Linked DNA regions of Saccharomyces cerevisiae S288C. The gene in region 2 interacts genetically with the main gene of each other region. Each region holds a gene or a part of one and is shown on either strand. Other genes may lie near its edges.

Evidence for each region. Genes that interact genetically often act in the same process or in processes that back each other up.
Region 1: mutations in IOC4 (region 2) and PAU8 together harm fitness more than expected from each alone (negative genetic interaction), as found in Saccharomyces cerevisiae (2 studies listed by BioGRID).
Region 3: mutations in IOC4 (region 2) and SOK1 together harm fitness more than expected from each alone (negative genetic interaction), as found in Saccharomyces cerevisiae (2 studies listed by BioGRID).

The regions. Positions count from the first base shown.
Region 1 is NC_001133.9:222-4,947, reverse strand, and holds PAU8 (seripauperin PAU8), read left to right. Parts: upstream 1-2,778; coding exon 2,779-3,141; downstream 3,142-4,726. Other genes in the region: YAL067W-A (uncharacterized protein), read right to left, coding at 2,241-2,468.
Region 2 is NC_001145.3:353,644-359,219, forward strand, and holds IOC4 (Ioc4p), read left to right. Parts: upstream 1-1,740; coding exon 1,741-3,168; downstream 3,169-5,576. Other genes in the region: transcription factor MCM1, read left to right, coding at 228-1,088. UniProt on the Saccharomyces cerevisiae protein: Functions as a component of the ISW1B complex, which acts in remodeling the chromatin by catalyzing an ATP-dependent alteration in the structure of nucleosomal DNA.
Region 3 is NC_001136.10:456,957-463,718, reverse strand, and holds SOK1 (Sok1p), read left to right. Parts: upstream 1-2,471; coding exon 2,472-5,177; downstream 5,178-6,762. Other genes in the region: transcriptional regulator GAL3, read right to left, coding at 1-285; phosphoribosylanthranilate isomerase TRP1, read right to left, coding at 1,203-1,877; RNA polymerase III-inhibiting protein MAF1, read left to right, coding at 5,616-5,621, 5,702-6,762. UniProt on the Saccharomyces cerevisiae protein: High copy suppressor of a cyclic AMP-dependent protein kinase mutant.

The sequences.
Region 1 (4,726 bases), on a different chromosome or scaffold from region 2:
CTGGGAATGTTGATGCACTTTTTATCAACGATTTTGTCTCCTTTGTGATAGATACTAAGAAAGCACAAGATAATCAACCCAGTAAGCGACAGAAGGGTCGACCTATAAAAATTAGCTCATCATTTCTCGGTAAGGTCGGGTTCACAAATTTTAAATCTCGTAAAATTTTGCAATGACTGAAGCACTCAATACAATTTAAAAGGATAAAGCAGTGGCAAAGATTGTTTATCAGAGATGTACGATCTGGTTATCCAGATATTTGAGATACTACCACCATAATATTAACTTTGTCGATTAACAATTTTTTTTGGAAACTCTGCCTTTTTTTTTACTACATCAAATCATGCTATCAAGCGTTTGAGAAAACTTAAGTTACTCCATGTAATGAGCAGGTCTAATGTAACAGTAAAACGAATAATGAATCAAATATTTGTATGAAAATTAATACACCCTCAAAGAAAGATTAAACCTGAAAGCCTAAAAAGTTTAATATTGAGATTGATAACTTTGTCATCAAAAAGCATCTGCAACTAACAAGTAACTATTCGGCAAGTACTAAACAGAGAAAATTCAATTTATCACAAGCTATCCACTTAAATTATGAGTTGCTTGTCATGTAGTGGCTTGTAAGAGCTATTGCATTGTTCTTCGTGCCATAACCGCAAGCGATTGACGATTCGTAGACCATTGAATACAGTGAATTTTTTAGGGCCTGTATTTGTCGTTATAACAACTGCTATTAAATTTTTCCCTAATGAGGTAAGTAGAAATTGACTTATTCTTACTTGCTTCCAAAAAAAGTACTCTCTAGTTATAGAGAGTAACAAGCATGTGAACTTGTTGTTCTTTTTCGATAATAAGGTTGTCGACGGTTGCCTCATCACAAAATAGACACATTTGATGTTGAACTACATAAATATTCAAACTTCAGGCCTTGAAACATCATAAAGTAGCTTTCCGGATCACTAGCTCATTATCAAAATGGAAAGATACTGAAATTGAAGACAAGAAAAGCATAGGTTTATTGTCCCTTGGTTATCTGGACCTTAATGGCTTTTACCTCAGAATATTTTCAAAAATAGCTTAACCTGGAAGTTTTATGAGTCTTTCAAGTTCTTAGCGTTTCGTACCTGGGTAATATTATGGTTACTACCAAGCCTTTACTGGATAATGTCCAGCAAGTGGGTTTACTCATTTATGATTTCTCTTTTTGTCCTCTTTTTCGAGCCAATATTTTTACCTGTCATTCATGTATTTTTCTCATAAGCTTTCGAAACAACTCCCTGTATTTACAAAGAAATTACTAAAAAAACATCAGATACGGGCACCAATGATCGGAAAGTTGTTTCAACAAACCTAATTTTGTACTTGTATACAAATATAGTCTGGGATAGTAGGTACTTTATCAATGCAACAGATTGTCAATAAGCGTCCAAAACAATTCTTCTTCAACCATTCTCTTTGAAAAAAGACGAAACTGCTAAGTTTAAGTCATTTCAGGATTTTGCCCCTTGCATAAAAGAGGCATTTGAAGTTTCTTTGAAAAAAGATGTATGATGCTGGGGAGGTATGGAAACCCGTTGACATGGGAGATTCTAAATTTTTTAAGGAAGCTCTTCAATGAAGGTTTACTTTGGTTCTCAAGAGAATTTTCACTGTTTACTGTTTCCCTCCATGCTTTCCTTTTTGATCTAAAGCTACTGTCATGCAATTATCAACCCCTATTTCGTATCTTATATCTTGAAAGCTTCTTTATGAAGAAAATAATAATTTTTTAACATCCAAGAATTTTATCTACGAGAATGGGACACAAATACAATTCTTATCAATCATTATAAATGAGCAAGAAAAATTTGGCAGTCTAGGAATGAAATCGGAAGGGAAATGAACGGCTACTTTTTCGGGAAGATTGTTTGGAAAACGAAGAGTTGTTCTTTGATGAATGCGATTTCCAAGCGTTCTTTGTGCGGAACTTTAATAACCTTTTAAGAATCCAAGGATTAAGAAAAATCCCACTTAGAAAGAAGAGTAGCCGAACGTTCTTACTCTCATATCCCTACTTAGGTTCAGTTAGCCGTACATATCAAACTACAATAATACTGCCCTGCTAAATTAGCGGTACCCTCTTTTAAATATGTATCTGTTTGATATCAACTTGTCTCATTACCATCCGCTTCTCAGCGGCTAAAATTACGTAATTGCACCAAGGCATTTGCCGAGAGTTCACAAGTTTACAGACCCTAACAGTATACGACTCCCAACACACGTTTAATGTTGTACGAATTCAAGAGATGGAAATATTTCCTCCGCGGAAGCCGTTTAAAGCAGACTGAATTCAGGCTTAGACAATAAGCTTCTGTACGAGGGTCCAAATCTAAAATTCGGATATTCTTTTTGACCGAAAAAGGAAATGTCACAGGCACAGAAAAGGGTTTTATAAGGCACCTCGGCACCCCTATAATTGGCATTCCCACATTCTGCGCATACGAATACACATAAGCGCCATAAAACAGTACTCCACATACGAAACCTATGAAAGATTTATGATTCGTTCAGAAACAAGAGCATCTCCATAGAGATAATGAGATTGTGTGAAAGATGAGATATAGAGAATATTTGATGAGGAACTGGTGCCAGTCAGCGATCGTTTAAATAGCAACAACCCATGAGGGAATGGGTATAAATAGAGCTGCTTCAACTATATGCCTTTGAGAATATGTCTTTATTCTTTCCTTTCCTGTTAAGCTTATATCAGCACTAACAAACAAAACAAATACAATGGTCAAATTAACTTCAATCGCCGCTGGTGTCGCTGCCATCGCTGCTACTGCTTCTGCAACCACCACTCTAGCTCAATCTGACGAAAGAGTCAACTTGGTGGAATTGGGTGTCTACGTCTCTGATATCAGAGCTCACTTAGCCCAATACTACATGTTCCAAGCCGCCCACCCAACTGAAACCTACCCAGTCGAAGTTGCTGAAGCCGTTTTCAACTACGGTGACTTCACCACCATGTTGACCGGTATTGCTCCAGACCAAGTGACCAGAATGATCACCGGTGTTCCATGGTACTCCAGCAGATTAAAGCCAGCCATCTCCAGTGCTCTATCCAAGGACGGTATCTACACTATCGCAAACTAGAGACAAACGCCAATTTTACGAACGGGTTTCCATAGAAATTGAAAATTAACGAACAAAATAAAATAAAAAAACTACTTTTTTTTGATGATATAAATACCGTAGATTATATAAATGTATATTAATATTATAGACCTATTTGATCAATGACGGTGTTCGTGAAGCATTTTATGAATACGATGAACATAAGAAAGAAACTTCTACACTATTGTAGAAAAAACGTGGACGGTAATAAAGCTAACAGTGTATGTCCAATAAACAACAATGAAATTGGAAATGTGCGGCTTCGCAACCTTTGTCCTTAAATAAAAATGAGTCGCTGCTTCGTTTTTCATTTTTTGGCGCGTCGCGTCGGGCCGTATAGAATATGCGTCACTTCTAAGAACAAGATTGCAGATCAGGGCAGTGCGAGTTACAAGTCATGGTACCAAACTCTCATTTAGAGACCCTCATTTTTTGACACGTAAAATATCAAGATTTCTGGGTTGGCATAGTTTTTTGTGTAACTGTAACTAGAAATAAAGCTGAGGGGTTAGTGTTCTATCAGCAATAAGATAGAGGGTGGTAAGATGAAGTGAGACAATATCGTAACGTCCGTTTTAGTATACGCCGCTGATAAGTTATATTACCGTAAAATTATTTGACATTTCGTTATAGATCCTATTAAATAACGTACCTATCACAGTATCGTCTTGACTAGATATAGTCCCTTCGTATGAGTAGTGTCACATACAAGATTAAAGATGCATCAGTTATGCTTTTAGGATATTGCGGTTAGCATATGGGAATGGAAATAAGATATAATTGTATCATAGCACCCGCATGAGTTTGAGCCACTACCGTATTATTGCTCGGTGAATAAAGAGTGTTACGACAGTGATGTGACATATTATTCTAATGTATGGCCTGTGTAAGTACGAAATATTCTGAAATAGCATCCGTTCAAGCAAATTGCAATATTGAGGAACTTTTACGTTAGTGATACCATGATAGTGTTGCTACCACAAGCCAATATGTTTATGTATTATTGTTGAAAAGTAGAATATTTTTATGTTTAGGTGATTTTTGTGGGGATTTTTCTGTAATATTGACATAAGTGTATATAAATGGAGTGGTAAGTATATGGTGCAAAAGTGGTATAACGTATGTATTAAGGGCAGTTATACAATATTTGGGACCGCCGAATGAGATATAGATATCAAAATGTGGATAATGATGGGCGTTATGGGTAAATGGCACAGGGTATAGACCGCTGAGGCAAGTGCCGTGCATAATGATGTGAGTGCATTTGGTACTGATTCAGTGAGAGATGGGCCATGGAGTGAAGTGGAATCTGAGAGTAGGGTAAGTTTGAGATGGTATATACTGTAGCATCCGTGTGCGTACGTAAAATCAGTATACAAGTGAGGGTGAGTATGGCATGTGGTGGTGGTATAAAGTGGTAGGGTAAGCACGTGTGTGTTATTTACGATCATTTGTTAGCGTTTCAATATGGTGGGTAGAAGAACAGTATGGTGAGTAGGTCATGGTGGATGGTAGGGTAATGGTAGGGTAAGTGGCAGTGGGTTGGATATGGGTAATTGGAGGG
Region 2 (5,576 bases):
GTTTGTTAATTCATTATACTGATAATATTTTTGAATTTTTTTTTTTTTTGATACATTTTTTTTAATCGCTGTTTTGTCTGTTTTTTTCGATTCAGTTATAGGGAAAAAAACGGGAAAGGAAAGAGAAAAAAAAATTAGTGCAGAGCAATAAGAAGCGAAAATCAAAAAAAAGTTTTGGATCTGCAAGACTTGCTGTCACGCAACAATATTATAGCCACCCAGCAAAAATGTCAGACATCGAAGAAGGTACGCCTACTAATAATGGGCAACAGAAGGAGAGAAGAAAGATAGAAATTAAGTTCATCGAGAATAAAACAAGGCGCCATGTGACATTTTCCAAAAGGAAGCACGGTATCATGAAAAAGGCGTTTGAGCTTTCTGTTCTAACGGGGACCCAGGTCCTGTTGCTAGTCGTTTCAGAAACAGGTTTGGTATATACTTTCAGCACGCCGAAGTTTGAACCTATAGTCACGCAGCAGGAAGGTAGAAACCTGATCCAGGCCTGTCTTAACGCCCCTGATGATGAGGAAGAAGACGAGGAGGAAGACGGTGATGATGATGATGATGATGACGATGATGGTAATGATATGCAACGCCAGCAACCACAACAACAGCAACCGCAACAACAGCAACAAGTATTGAATGCACACGCAAATAGCTTAGGCCATCTAAATCAAGATCAGGTACCGGCAGGCGCGCTGAAACAAGAGGTGAAGTCACAATTGCTAGGCGGTGCCAATCCTAATCAAAACTCAATGATTCAACAGCAGCAACATCACACGCAGAATTCACAACCACAACAGCAACAGCAACAACAACCACAGCAGCAAATGTCACAGCAACAAATGTCACAGCATCCTCGACCACAGCAAGGAATACCACATCCGCAACAATCGCAGCCACAGCAACAGCAACAACAACAACAACAACTGCAACAGCAGCAACAGCAGCAACAACAACAACCCCTCACCGGCATTCATCAGCCTCACCAACAGGCTTTTGCCAACGCTGCCTCCCCCTATCTGAATGCTGAACAGAATGCTGCCTACCAACAATACTTTCAAGAACCGCAACAAGGCCAATACTAATCTTATCGATTTCCGTATATAATTCATAGACGAGCATTAAGAGGAAAAAGCTGTTTCCGTACCAATTAAAGAAAGATAGACAACAAGAACAAAAACGTACATTACTCTATATTGAAAAAAGCCCTATGTCGGTAAAAGAATAGGAAGTACCTTAGTCATCGGCACTTACCTTTTTTTTTACGATTACTTCTGGTTTGTTTCTTTGCCTCATTTCATTTTGCTGCCACTTTCTTTCATAGGCAAGAAGATTCAATCAAATCTCCCCTTCTCCTTCCCCGGATATATAAAATATAAATATAAAACTTTAAGAATATAAAAATATGAGAAACCACACATAACTTGTATACTTTACTCACATACACACATTTCCAAAAAAATTATAATGTTAATTACATTGCTTTTAATGCTAATCTTTTTTTAGTTGTATAATCATTACCATATAAATGCCTCTCGGTCTAATTTCATTGCCAGTATTGTAAGTTATATACTTTTATACGAGTGTACGGAAAATATCGTGGCTCCCCGTTAACAGTGAAATAAATCTACGCATGTAGCTGCCAGTTTTTTAAGCGTTATATCAATATTGGTAAAGTAAGAATTGACGAAGAAATTGTTAACTACATTTTTCAGAACGGCGTGTCATTCTCCGATAATGTCTGAAGCGATATTCCAGCCAACGGACATTGTCCTTGCCAAAGTTAAAGGCTTTTCAGCATGGCCAGCAATGATTATCCCTAATGAACTCATCCCAGATAACATCCTCAAGACCAAACCTGTGAGTGTCCACAAAGGCAAATCAGGTAGTGATAAAAAAGCAAATGAAGATATAGATGCAGACATGGAATCAGAGGCTAGAGATCGAGAGCAAAGCGAAGAAGAAGAAGATATAGAGGATTTTGGTGAGAGTGAGGCTAATCCTGAAAAATTTATAATATACACTCCCGTTCTGAAGTTTCGTAAAAATGATACGTTGAAATCGACTTACTGCGTCAAGTTTTTTTGCGATGATTCTTATATCTGGGTGAAGCCCATGGATATGAAGATTCTAACAAGCGAAGATTGTCGTAAGTGGCTAAGCGGCAAACAGCGGAAGAATAAGAAACTCATACCGGCATATGAAATGGCTATGAGAGGCAAAAATGGAATTGATATTTGGGAATTTGTGGAATATGGGTCTTACGGCAAGCCAGATGAAGAGGAATATGTAGAGGAAGAGGAAGAAGAGAACGAACCTGAAAAAAAGGCTATAAGGCCAACCAGGTCTTCCAGTAGACAGCGTCAGAAGCGCGCCTCAGAAACGGAAAAGAGTGAGGGCGGTAATAGCAATAAAAGGAAAAGAGTTACTAGATCGACTAGGCAACAAGCGATAGATGCTTCAGAAGAGGAAGAGGAGGAAGAGGAGGAAAAAGTACAAGAGGCTGTTAGAAAGAGGCCGCAAAGGACCAAAACTAAGAAAGTTGTAGTATCCAAGACTAAACCAAATCCAAAAACAAAGGCAAAGAAAGAGAAACCTAAACCACCTAAGCCAATCAAATATCATTTTGAAGATGATGAAGATTGGAGCATTGTTGGGTTGGGCCCACAAGATCTATCAATCGAAAAAACGATGGATCCGATTGCGAAAAAACTGTCGCAGAAGAAAAATCTAGAAAAGCATGTGGAGATTAAGCTAGATCTGGAGGATAAACTAGCAGGTATCAACAAGCTCCTGTGTGATGTCTTATGTTCAGCCATTAACCAGGCTGTTTCGATAAAGGATGATTTCGAAATAATATTAGATGAATTGCAGATTGCCCTTGACACCAGGGGGTCCAGAAACGAATTTATAACAATTTTCCAATCAAATAATTCCCTACTGTTAAACTTTAGGATATTATTTAACTTAAGAAAAAGGGAACTGAACAAATGGGATCTGTGGGATCGTTTCCAGGATATTTTCAAGCATATTTATTCCTACCAGTTCATACCTGATACGGAAGATTGGCAACTAGAGCAAAATATGGAAATTGAAGAAATGGATCGGGAAAAGCCGAGCTTTAGTGAAGACGTAAAGGAAGAAGAAAGCAAAGTAGGAGCATGACCTGTTGCTATTGCAGTTGATGTACTCTGCTTTTGAACAATAGAGGGGAAACCTGTGTACTATAAAATAGACTAAAACTATGTAACTTGTGTATGTTCTGATATGTATGACGCAGTCTTTGATAGTCCAAAACTCACCTAGACTGTGCTGTATTATTACAATTAAAGTTCTAAGTCTGTTGTGCATTATCATTTGAGAAATGGGGGAATGTTGAGATAATTGTTGGGATTCCATTGTTGATAAAGGCTATAATATTAGGTATACAGAATATACTAGAAGTTCTCCTCAAGGATATAGGAATCCTCAAAATGGAATCTATATTTCTACATACTAATATTACGATTATTCCTCATTCCGTTTTATATGTTTCATTATCCTATTACATTATCAATCCTTGCACTTCAGCTTCCTCTAACTTCGATGACAGCTTCTCATAACTTATGTCATCATCTTAACACCGTATATGATAATATATTGATAATATAACTATTAGTTGATAGACGATAGTGGATTTTTATTCCAACATACCACCCATAATGTAATAGATCTAATGAATCCATTTGTTTGTTAATAGTTTGAATGTTTTTATCGGAAGAGGTTTGGTCATTACGTCTGCAATATTCTTTTTGGTTTCGATATAGCATACGTGCAGATGATTTCCTGATACTTCATCTCTCAGTCTCATTGCTTTAGTACCAAAAAATCTGTTTCTAAATTTCTCTTCATTATTGGATATAATTATACTGATTGTAGATTTACTGTCGGTTAGTAATCCTTTGGTAATTGGTTTCTTGTCGAGTTCTTGTATCAGGTAACTTAGATTATTTAATAATGGGACAGATTCACTTATTGCGTGTATTTCTGCTTCCGTAGTTGAAGTACATGTTAATGAAGCCTTGGTGGACTTTCCTCCAATTACTTTTCCATTAAGTAAATATATGTTGCCAATTTGTGATTTATAATACGGTTGGTTACCATACGATGCATCGCTTATAACAACTAATTTATTTGTTGGCTTAACAGGTTTGCTTTTGTGCCATATTAATTGCTTATCTCTCGTATTCCATATGAACTGTATCAATTCATATGTCATATCTAACACTTGCTTGGACGGAAATAGTATATGTTGTGCAAGTGTGTTGATGTAGTATAATAGGTCAAATCTAAATTTATATCCAACATATGATGCTAGACCTATCAGCTTTTGCATTTCATGTACCTTCATTTTGTAATCATCTTCTTCTAGCTCTAGTTCTTGCTGGTCTATATATAGACCTGGTTGACCTGGAGCGCTAAGTTTCCTTCCTTTTGGGTTCAAAGGTACGTTTAGTTTGGGTATTTTTTCAGTTAATGAGTTTTCCATACCCAATTTCATGTATTTACCTCTTTGGTATTTGATTTCCAAGCCAAGAATGTCATATTGAATTTCCTCATCACTTTCGCCTAGATTTATAATCTTGGTGTCGTATTGCATCTTAAGCTTGTCTATAATTCTTTTGTTTGAATTTAGATTTTTGCTAAACAGTACCATATCATCTACGAATAAACAAATTGTCACTTGACTGTTTTCAAATACGCATGACCATCCACGAACTTCTTCCATACCACACTGTTTTATCAGGTATGATTTGATAGTTTCGTACCAGTTCGCTCCACTTTGTTTCAATCCATAAAGTGATTTCTTCAAACGTATCAACTTATCATTCATTCCTAAATGTGGTGGAGGTCTTATGTATAATTCTTCTTTGATGTCTGCATACAAATATGCCGAAGATATGTCTAATTGTGTAATATAGTAGTTATTGTCTAATGCAAGTGACAGGGATGTCATTAATGCATAGTGATGTACGGTATTGGATTGCATGCCTGAGTCGTAAGTGTCAGGATGCTGAATATCACCTCTTGCAACAAATCTAGCTTTATGAGTACCGTCACGTTTCCTGTTGAAGATAAACATTGAATTTATTACTCTTTTAGGGTCTATTTCTTTTCTGTCATAATATTTGTCAGTGTCCCAAGTTTTCATCTTCAACAGTTGATTGACTTCTTTGTGGTATGCCTCGATATATTTTTCTTTTTCTTTAATATCTTTATTATAGGTGATTGCCTCATCGTATCGTAAGGTTGTTCGTATTGGTTTGATTGATTTTACTGCTTTTACAGCTGCAATCAGGTGGATTCGTTTCTTCGATCTCGGAGGTTCTAAACTACGCATATTCTTAGTATTCCATGTGTCTCGTGATACCTTAATTTCAGTTTCATTATCTTCTAATGATCTTTTCTTACTGTTGATAGTAGTATAGGCATTAGAGTCACCAATACCACCCAAACTGGAATTAGTTTGACGAGAATTGATCGGTGGAAGTTCTTTAAAGGAGTCTGATAATTCGGTAGGAGGTTCTGGAGGC
Region 3 (6,762 bases), on a different chromosome or scaffold from region 2:
AGCAAATTTAGGGTCCGCATTTGTTAAGGTAATGGATGGATTTTTTTCGTCTAAAATTTTAACTGCGCAAAGCATATCCACATCAATGGCTAATGGCAAAACTGAAAAATCGCAATAATCTATATGCTCACCAATCAGATTTACTCTGCCAGGAGACCTAGCGATAAAATCAGGTTTGACATGGTATGTTTGGAAAAATGCATCTACAACCGCTAAATGTTTTTGTTCGAAAGACCTTGGTAAATCTCTGACCGGAGAACTGAATATTGGAACGTTTGTATTCATACTATGTGTTGCCCTACCTTTTTACTTTTATTTTCTCTTTTTGCACTCCTGATTCCGCTAATAGGAAGTATGAATACCTGGGGTTGTCAATGTGGTAACAAAGGTGTTGCCTCACTTGTCGCTTATGATGATTATATACGTTTCAGTAAAAATTTTACTGCCTATGTGTTGCAGGCGGTCAATCAATTGCATAAAAGACCGTGTGATGGCTTGGCATGGCGATTTCATTCTTTCAAGAATTCCACATGTTAAAATAGTGAAGGAGCATGTTCGGCACACAGTGGACCGAACGTGGGGTAAGTGCACTAGGGTCCGGTTAAACGGATCTCGCATTGATGAGGCAACGCTAATTATCAACATATAGATTGTTATCTATCTGCATGAACACGAAATCTTTACTTGACGACTTGAGGCTGATGGTGTTTATGCAAAGAAACCACTGTGTTTAATATGTGTCACTGTTTGATATTACTGTCAGCGTAGAAGATAATAGTAAAAGCGGTTAATAAGTGTATTTGAGATAAGTGTGATAAAGTTTTTACAGCGAAAAGACGATAAATACAAGAAAATGATTACGAGGATACGGAGAGAGGTATGTACATGTGTATTTATATACTAAGCTGCCGGCGGTTGTTTGCAAGACCGAGAAAAGGCTAGCAAGAATCGGGTCATTGTAGCGTATGCGCCTGTGAACATTCTCTTCAACAAGTTTGATTCCATTGCGGTGAAATGGTAAAAGTCAACCCCCTGCGATGTATATTTTCCTGTACAATCAATCAAAAAGCCAAATGATTTAGCATTATCTTTACATCTTGTTATTTTACAGATTTTATGTTTAGATCTTTTATGCTTGCTTTTCAAAAGGCCTGCAGGCAAGTGCACAAACAATACTTAAATAAATACTACTCAGTAATAACCTATTTCTTAGCATTTTTGACGAAATTTGCTATTTTGTTAGAGTCTTTTACACCATTTGTCTCCACACCTCCGCTTACATCAACACCAATAACGCCATTTAATCTAAGCGCATCACCAACATTTTCTGGCGTCAGTCCACCAGCTAACATAAAATGTAAGCTTTCGGGGCTCTCTTGCCTTCCAACCCAGTCAGAAATCGAGTTCCAATCCAAAAGTTCACCTGTCCCACCTGCTTCTGAATCAAACAAGGGAATAAACGAATGAGGTTTCTGTGAAGCTGCACTGAGTAGTATGTTGCAGTCTTTTGGAAATACGAGTCTTTTAATAACTGGCAAACCGAGGAACTCTTGGTATTCTTGCCACGACTCATCTCCATGCAGTTGGACGATATCAATGCCGTAATCATTGACCAGAGCCAAAACATCCTCCTTAGGTTGATTACGAAACACGCCAACCAAGTATTTCGGAGTGCCTGAACTATTTTTATATGCTTTTACAAGACTTGAAATTTTCCTTGCAATAACCGGGTCAATTGTTCTCTTTCTATTGGGCACACATATAATACCCAGCAAGTCAGCATCGGAATCTAGAGCACATTCTGCGGCCTCTGTGCTCTGCAAGCCGCAAACTTTCACCAATGGACCAGAACTACCTGTGAAATTAATAACAGACATACTCCAAGCTGCCTTTGTGTGCTTAATCACGTATACTCACGTGCTCAATAGTCACCAATGCCCTCCCTCTTGGCCCTCTCCTTTTCTTTTTTCGACCGAATTCTTAATCGGCAAAAAAAGAAAAGCTCCGGATCAAGATTGTACGTAAGGTGACAAGCTATTTTTCAATAAAGAATATCTTCCACTACTGCCATCTGGCGTCATAACTGCAAAGTACACATATATTACGATGCTGTTCTATTAAATGCTTCCTATATTATATATATAGTAATGTCGTTAACCGTTGATTTTTACTGATTGGTCTCTGCCGTGCGGGTGAGCGGCGCGTCCAGACGGGCGGGTGCACGTTTCTTTTTCTGACCATTTCCCTGTCAGCTCTTTTAGATCGGGGCTGCCGTTTGAAAAGTTTTATCATCGCCAGACATGCCATAAGGAATATCTCCACCGCCTCTAACTGTCCCTAACTCGGTCTCTTTCTTATAACTACCATTACTCAGTGTTGAGAGATTGGTAGAAATATACGCGTATACGTTCATTCAAGACTTATTTTCAGCCAGTAATATTCCCTACTCCTCTTCCGTTTTCAGAATAGAGATGGACCAGCCAAGGACCCATTCAGGACCCACGACGGCCAGCAATCCTGCCCCCAGCTCCACCAACTCGTCATCTGCTCCCAGCGCGACTAATTCAAAGCAGGAAAGATCCTCTTCGTCACTGTCCAAACCTTCGTCAGTGGTTCCTTCAAAGGATTCACCAGATGGTGACGCTATTGCTAAGACTCAAGCAGCCGCTTTAAAAAACGACATGAAATCTGGTGATACCAGTACATTAGATGGGTCATCTCAAAATATAATTCCAAACAGAGCCTCAATGCAAAAATATATTGACCAGTCATCAGATCTGCTGTCGAGGAGCTCCGGCGTAATAACGCCCTCCATGTCTTTGAATGCAAGCACTAACGCCACTAACAACGATAGCAGTGGCAATTCAGCTAATAGTAGTGATTTGAAGATCCCTATAGACAGGGACAATACTATATTCAAGACGTTCGACACCAAGACTGGTCAATTCTTGAAAAACGATGATAATGAAGAAGAAATAAGGAGGAACAATAAAGTTGATTCGATACCCCCAAAGAATATTTATACTAATATCAACAATCCATCTCCCTCCCCACCACCGTCGTCAAAGCAACCACCGTCTGCATCCGCGCCGCAATTGCCACCAGCAACGGAACCACACAAAGAACAAGCAGCACAACAACAGCCACCAGGAAATGCTTCTAACTTTTTAAGGATCTTTTCAAATAAAAAAATGAGGTCGCATTCCGTACCCACTATTTTGCATTCTTCTTTAAGAAAATTATCATCCCACAATCAATACTATCGTAATCAAAATATTCTTTTAAATCATCCAACTCCTTCCGGCATATCAAAGAAAAAATTTTCTAGAAACCATCATCAACCATATTTGCATTCTAATAATCCTCTCAGTTCAAACCCTCTTTCATTAAAGCGCGCAATTTTTTTAAATCAACAAATATCAGGTAACGCAAGCACTAACGCTAATAATGACAACATTAATAATTCCACTGCCACTTCAATGACAAATCAAAGCTTCCTATCAAGCTCAAACTTTGACTTAACTTTGGAAGATAGAATAAACTACATAAAGGCTACTCCAACGCCTGTTCCATTTCCTCCTATAAATTTGCAGGGCTTAAAAGAGATTGACTTACAGGAAATTCTGAAAAACCCACAACTAAGACATGATATAATATTCGACCCGCTACTACAATTCAGGCCAAATCTTGATGGCGAAAGAGGGAATAAAAAAAGACAATTGGCGAATATCTATTGGAATGATGTTCAAAATGAAATTTATGTTTACTCTAAGAGGCCTGAAATATTCCAATATAACAGGTCAAGACTAGTCCCACTTTTTGACACTTTAAGGGATGTATTGTTAACGATAGTCCCACAAAAAGAGTCTCCGATGATAAATAATGTACTGGACACAGAATTGAACATTCAAGAACTATTGAAAGGTTCTCTGATAATGTCTAACTTGTCAGGCTGGTTGGCTGATTTATTTAAACATCATTGTGCCCCCATGAGGGACCCATGGGTGGATAAAATGAGCAACAAATTTAAAGAAGCTGAAAGAGACTCTTCTTTAACAAGGTTAATAGAAGGTTTAAGGTTGGTTTTTCAAATTTTGGAAACAATGAAATTGGATATTGCCAATCATCAAATAAGAATACTAAGGCCAGCTCTGTTAAGTAATGCTGTAGAATTTGAGAAACAGTATTTCAACACTCTTATAGCCTCTAAAAGGGTGAATTTAAATACTTCCCTACTTTGGTTTGATAAAAAATTCAACGAAAATGTTACCGCTGGCCTTGTTAGAAATCCAAGTTCTATCACTATCCCTGATGTCTACAATATTTGCATTAGAAGTATAATTAACCTATTGTCATGTAGGAAGATGGTGAGAGAGTACCCAACTCCGCTTTCTTTTGATCATGCAAGATTGATCCTTTTGCGTGCCGATATACGTCAAATTGTTTGTATTTTAGTTTGCCGTTTACTTTTCCAACAATTGGTGGCCAACGATCCTTCAATGGATAAAGCTACAAAGGAATATGTTATTCATACATACTCAACTAAAAGGCTGAAGAATGAAATTATCAGCATTATAACAGATGAACACGGCAATTGTAGGTGGACTAAAAACACAATGTCTATTGCTGTTCATCTTTGCAAAGTTATTGACGATCTTCACAGGGAGTACGACAACAATGGTAGTTGTGAACAAGCCAGAAGGCCTCAATTGCCTTCATTAGACAACTCAAAAATAACCTTTGCTAAATCTTGGTTATCTAAGCAAACTCAACCCCTCAGTGAAGTTTATGGTGTCCTAGAAAATAGAGTATTCAAATCACTAGAGGACGCTATCTTCAACAGGTCCGAGTGCACAATTGATGGACGCGTTAAACAAGACTTTGTGTACCTCTACAACACAAACAATGGCAACGTAGGTAGCACTAACACTTTGAGTACTACTACAGATACTGCTAGCGTTAAAATCAGCCCGTCTTTGATGTCTCCTTCTAAAACCTCCACCACCACACCTACTGGCAATGCGATTGCATCCAGAGGTTTATTCGCAGCAACAGAGCTGGAGGAATTCGAGAATGTTTATCGCCACTTATATGCATTAATCAACCTTCATTGGTCCGTATTCGGTCCTCATTATATCGAAATGTTAGGAGATAAAGTTAATAAAAAAGGAATATAACTATTATCGGTAATGGAGGAAAAAAAAATTTTTTTACCATTTCTTTATGTAACTTCATATATCATTTTTAAAGCGTACATTTCTTATAATTTCACTTCTTAAATGCAGTCACATATTTACTGCTATCAGACAAAGTAAAGCGTCGCTAATTACTTGCCTCCACGAGTTGCTTGTCAATCAGGGGCGCTTCATCTCGCCAGCGAAAGCGCGTTGTCCATCTTATTTAACAAGAGAAAAAAAAGATAATTCAACTTAAAAAGAACGTGCTATCAGCTATATAAAATGTAGACACATTATGTATCAGTGTTTCTTTAGCAATGCGAAAAATATAGGCTTAGTGTCATTTACTTAAAGTTTAGAAACTCTGCACACTTCACCAAGAACAAGTTTAACCGCTCATTACTCCAAACGGATTTTTTTGCCTAAAGAATCACGACAATGAAAGTATGTTATCACTCTAAAACTGCCATGCTCTTTATTCGAAATTACTAACATTGTACCTGAACCCTCCTTTTCTTCCTTAGTTTATTGATGAGCTAGATATAGAGAGAGTGAATCAAACTCTCAATTTCGAGACAAATGACTGTAAAATCGTGGGCAGTTGCGATATTTTCACAACAAAGGCGGTTGCATCAGATAGAAAATTATATAAAACTATTGATCAGCATTTGGATACTATTTTACAGGAAAATGAGAATTACAATGCTACCCTTCAGCAACAGCTAGCTGCTCCCGAAACAAACCAATCACCCTGCTCGTCGCCATTTTATTCTAATAGGAGGGATAGCAACTCTTTTTGGGAGCAAAAGAGAAGAATATCTTTTAGTGAATACAATAGCAATAATAACACTAACAACAGTAATGGCAATAGCAGTAATAACAATAACTATTCTGGACCTAATGGTTCTTCTCCAGCAACTTTTCCCAAAAGTGCCAAGCTAAATGACCAAAATTTAAAAGAATTAGTCTCGAATTACGATTCTGGCTCTATGAGCTCATCGTCTCTTGATTCTTCTTCTAAGAATGATGAGAGGATAAGAAGAAGGAGCAGTAGCAGTATTAGCAGTTTCAAAAGTGGTAAATCATCGAACAATAATTACAGTTCTGGTACAGCAACCAACAATGTTAACAAAAGAAGAAAATCTTCGATAAACGAAAGGCCAAGCAATTTAAGTTTGGGTCCGTTTGGTCCCATAAACGAACCGTCAAGCCGCAAAATATTTGCTTATCTGATTGCTATCCTCAACGCTTCTTATCCTGACCATGATTTTTCATCGGTTGAGCCAACGGATTTTGTCAAAACATCATTGAAAACTTTTATTTCCAAATTTGAAAACACCTTATATTCTCTTGGTAGACAACCAGAGGAATGGGTCTGGGAGGTAATTAATTCTCACATGACTCTTTCTGATTGCGTCCTTTTTCAATATTCACCTTCAAACTCTTTTTTGGAAGATGAGCCTGGCTATCTTTGGAATCTTATAGGTTTTCTTTACAACAGGAAAAGGAAAAGAGTGGCTTACCTTTACTTGATTTGCTCGCGTCTAAATTCGAGTACAGGCGAAGTGGAAGATGCCTTGGCAAA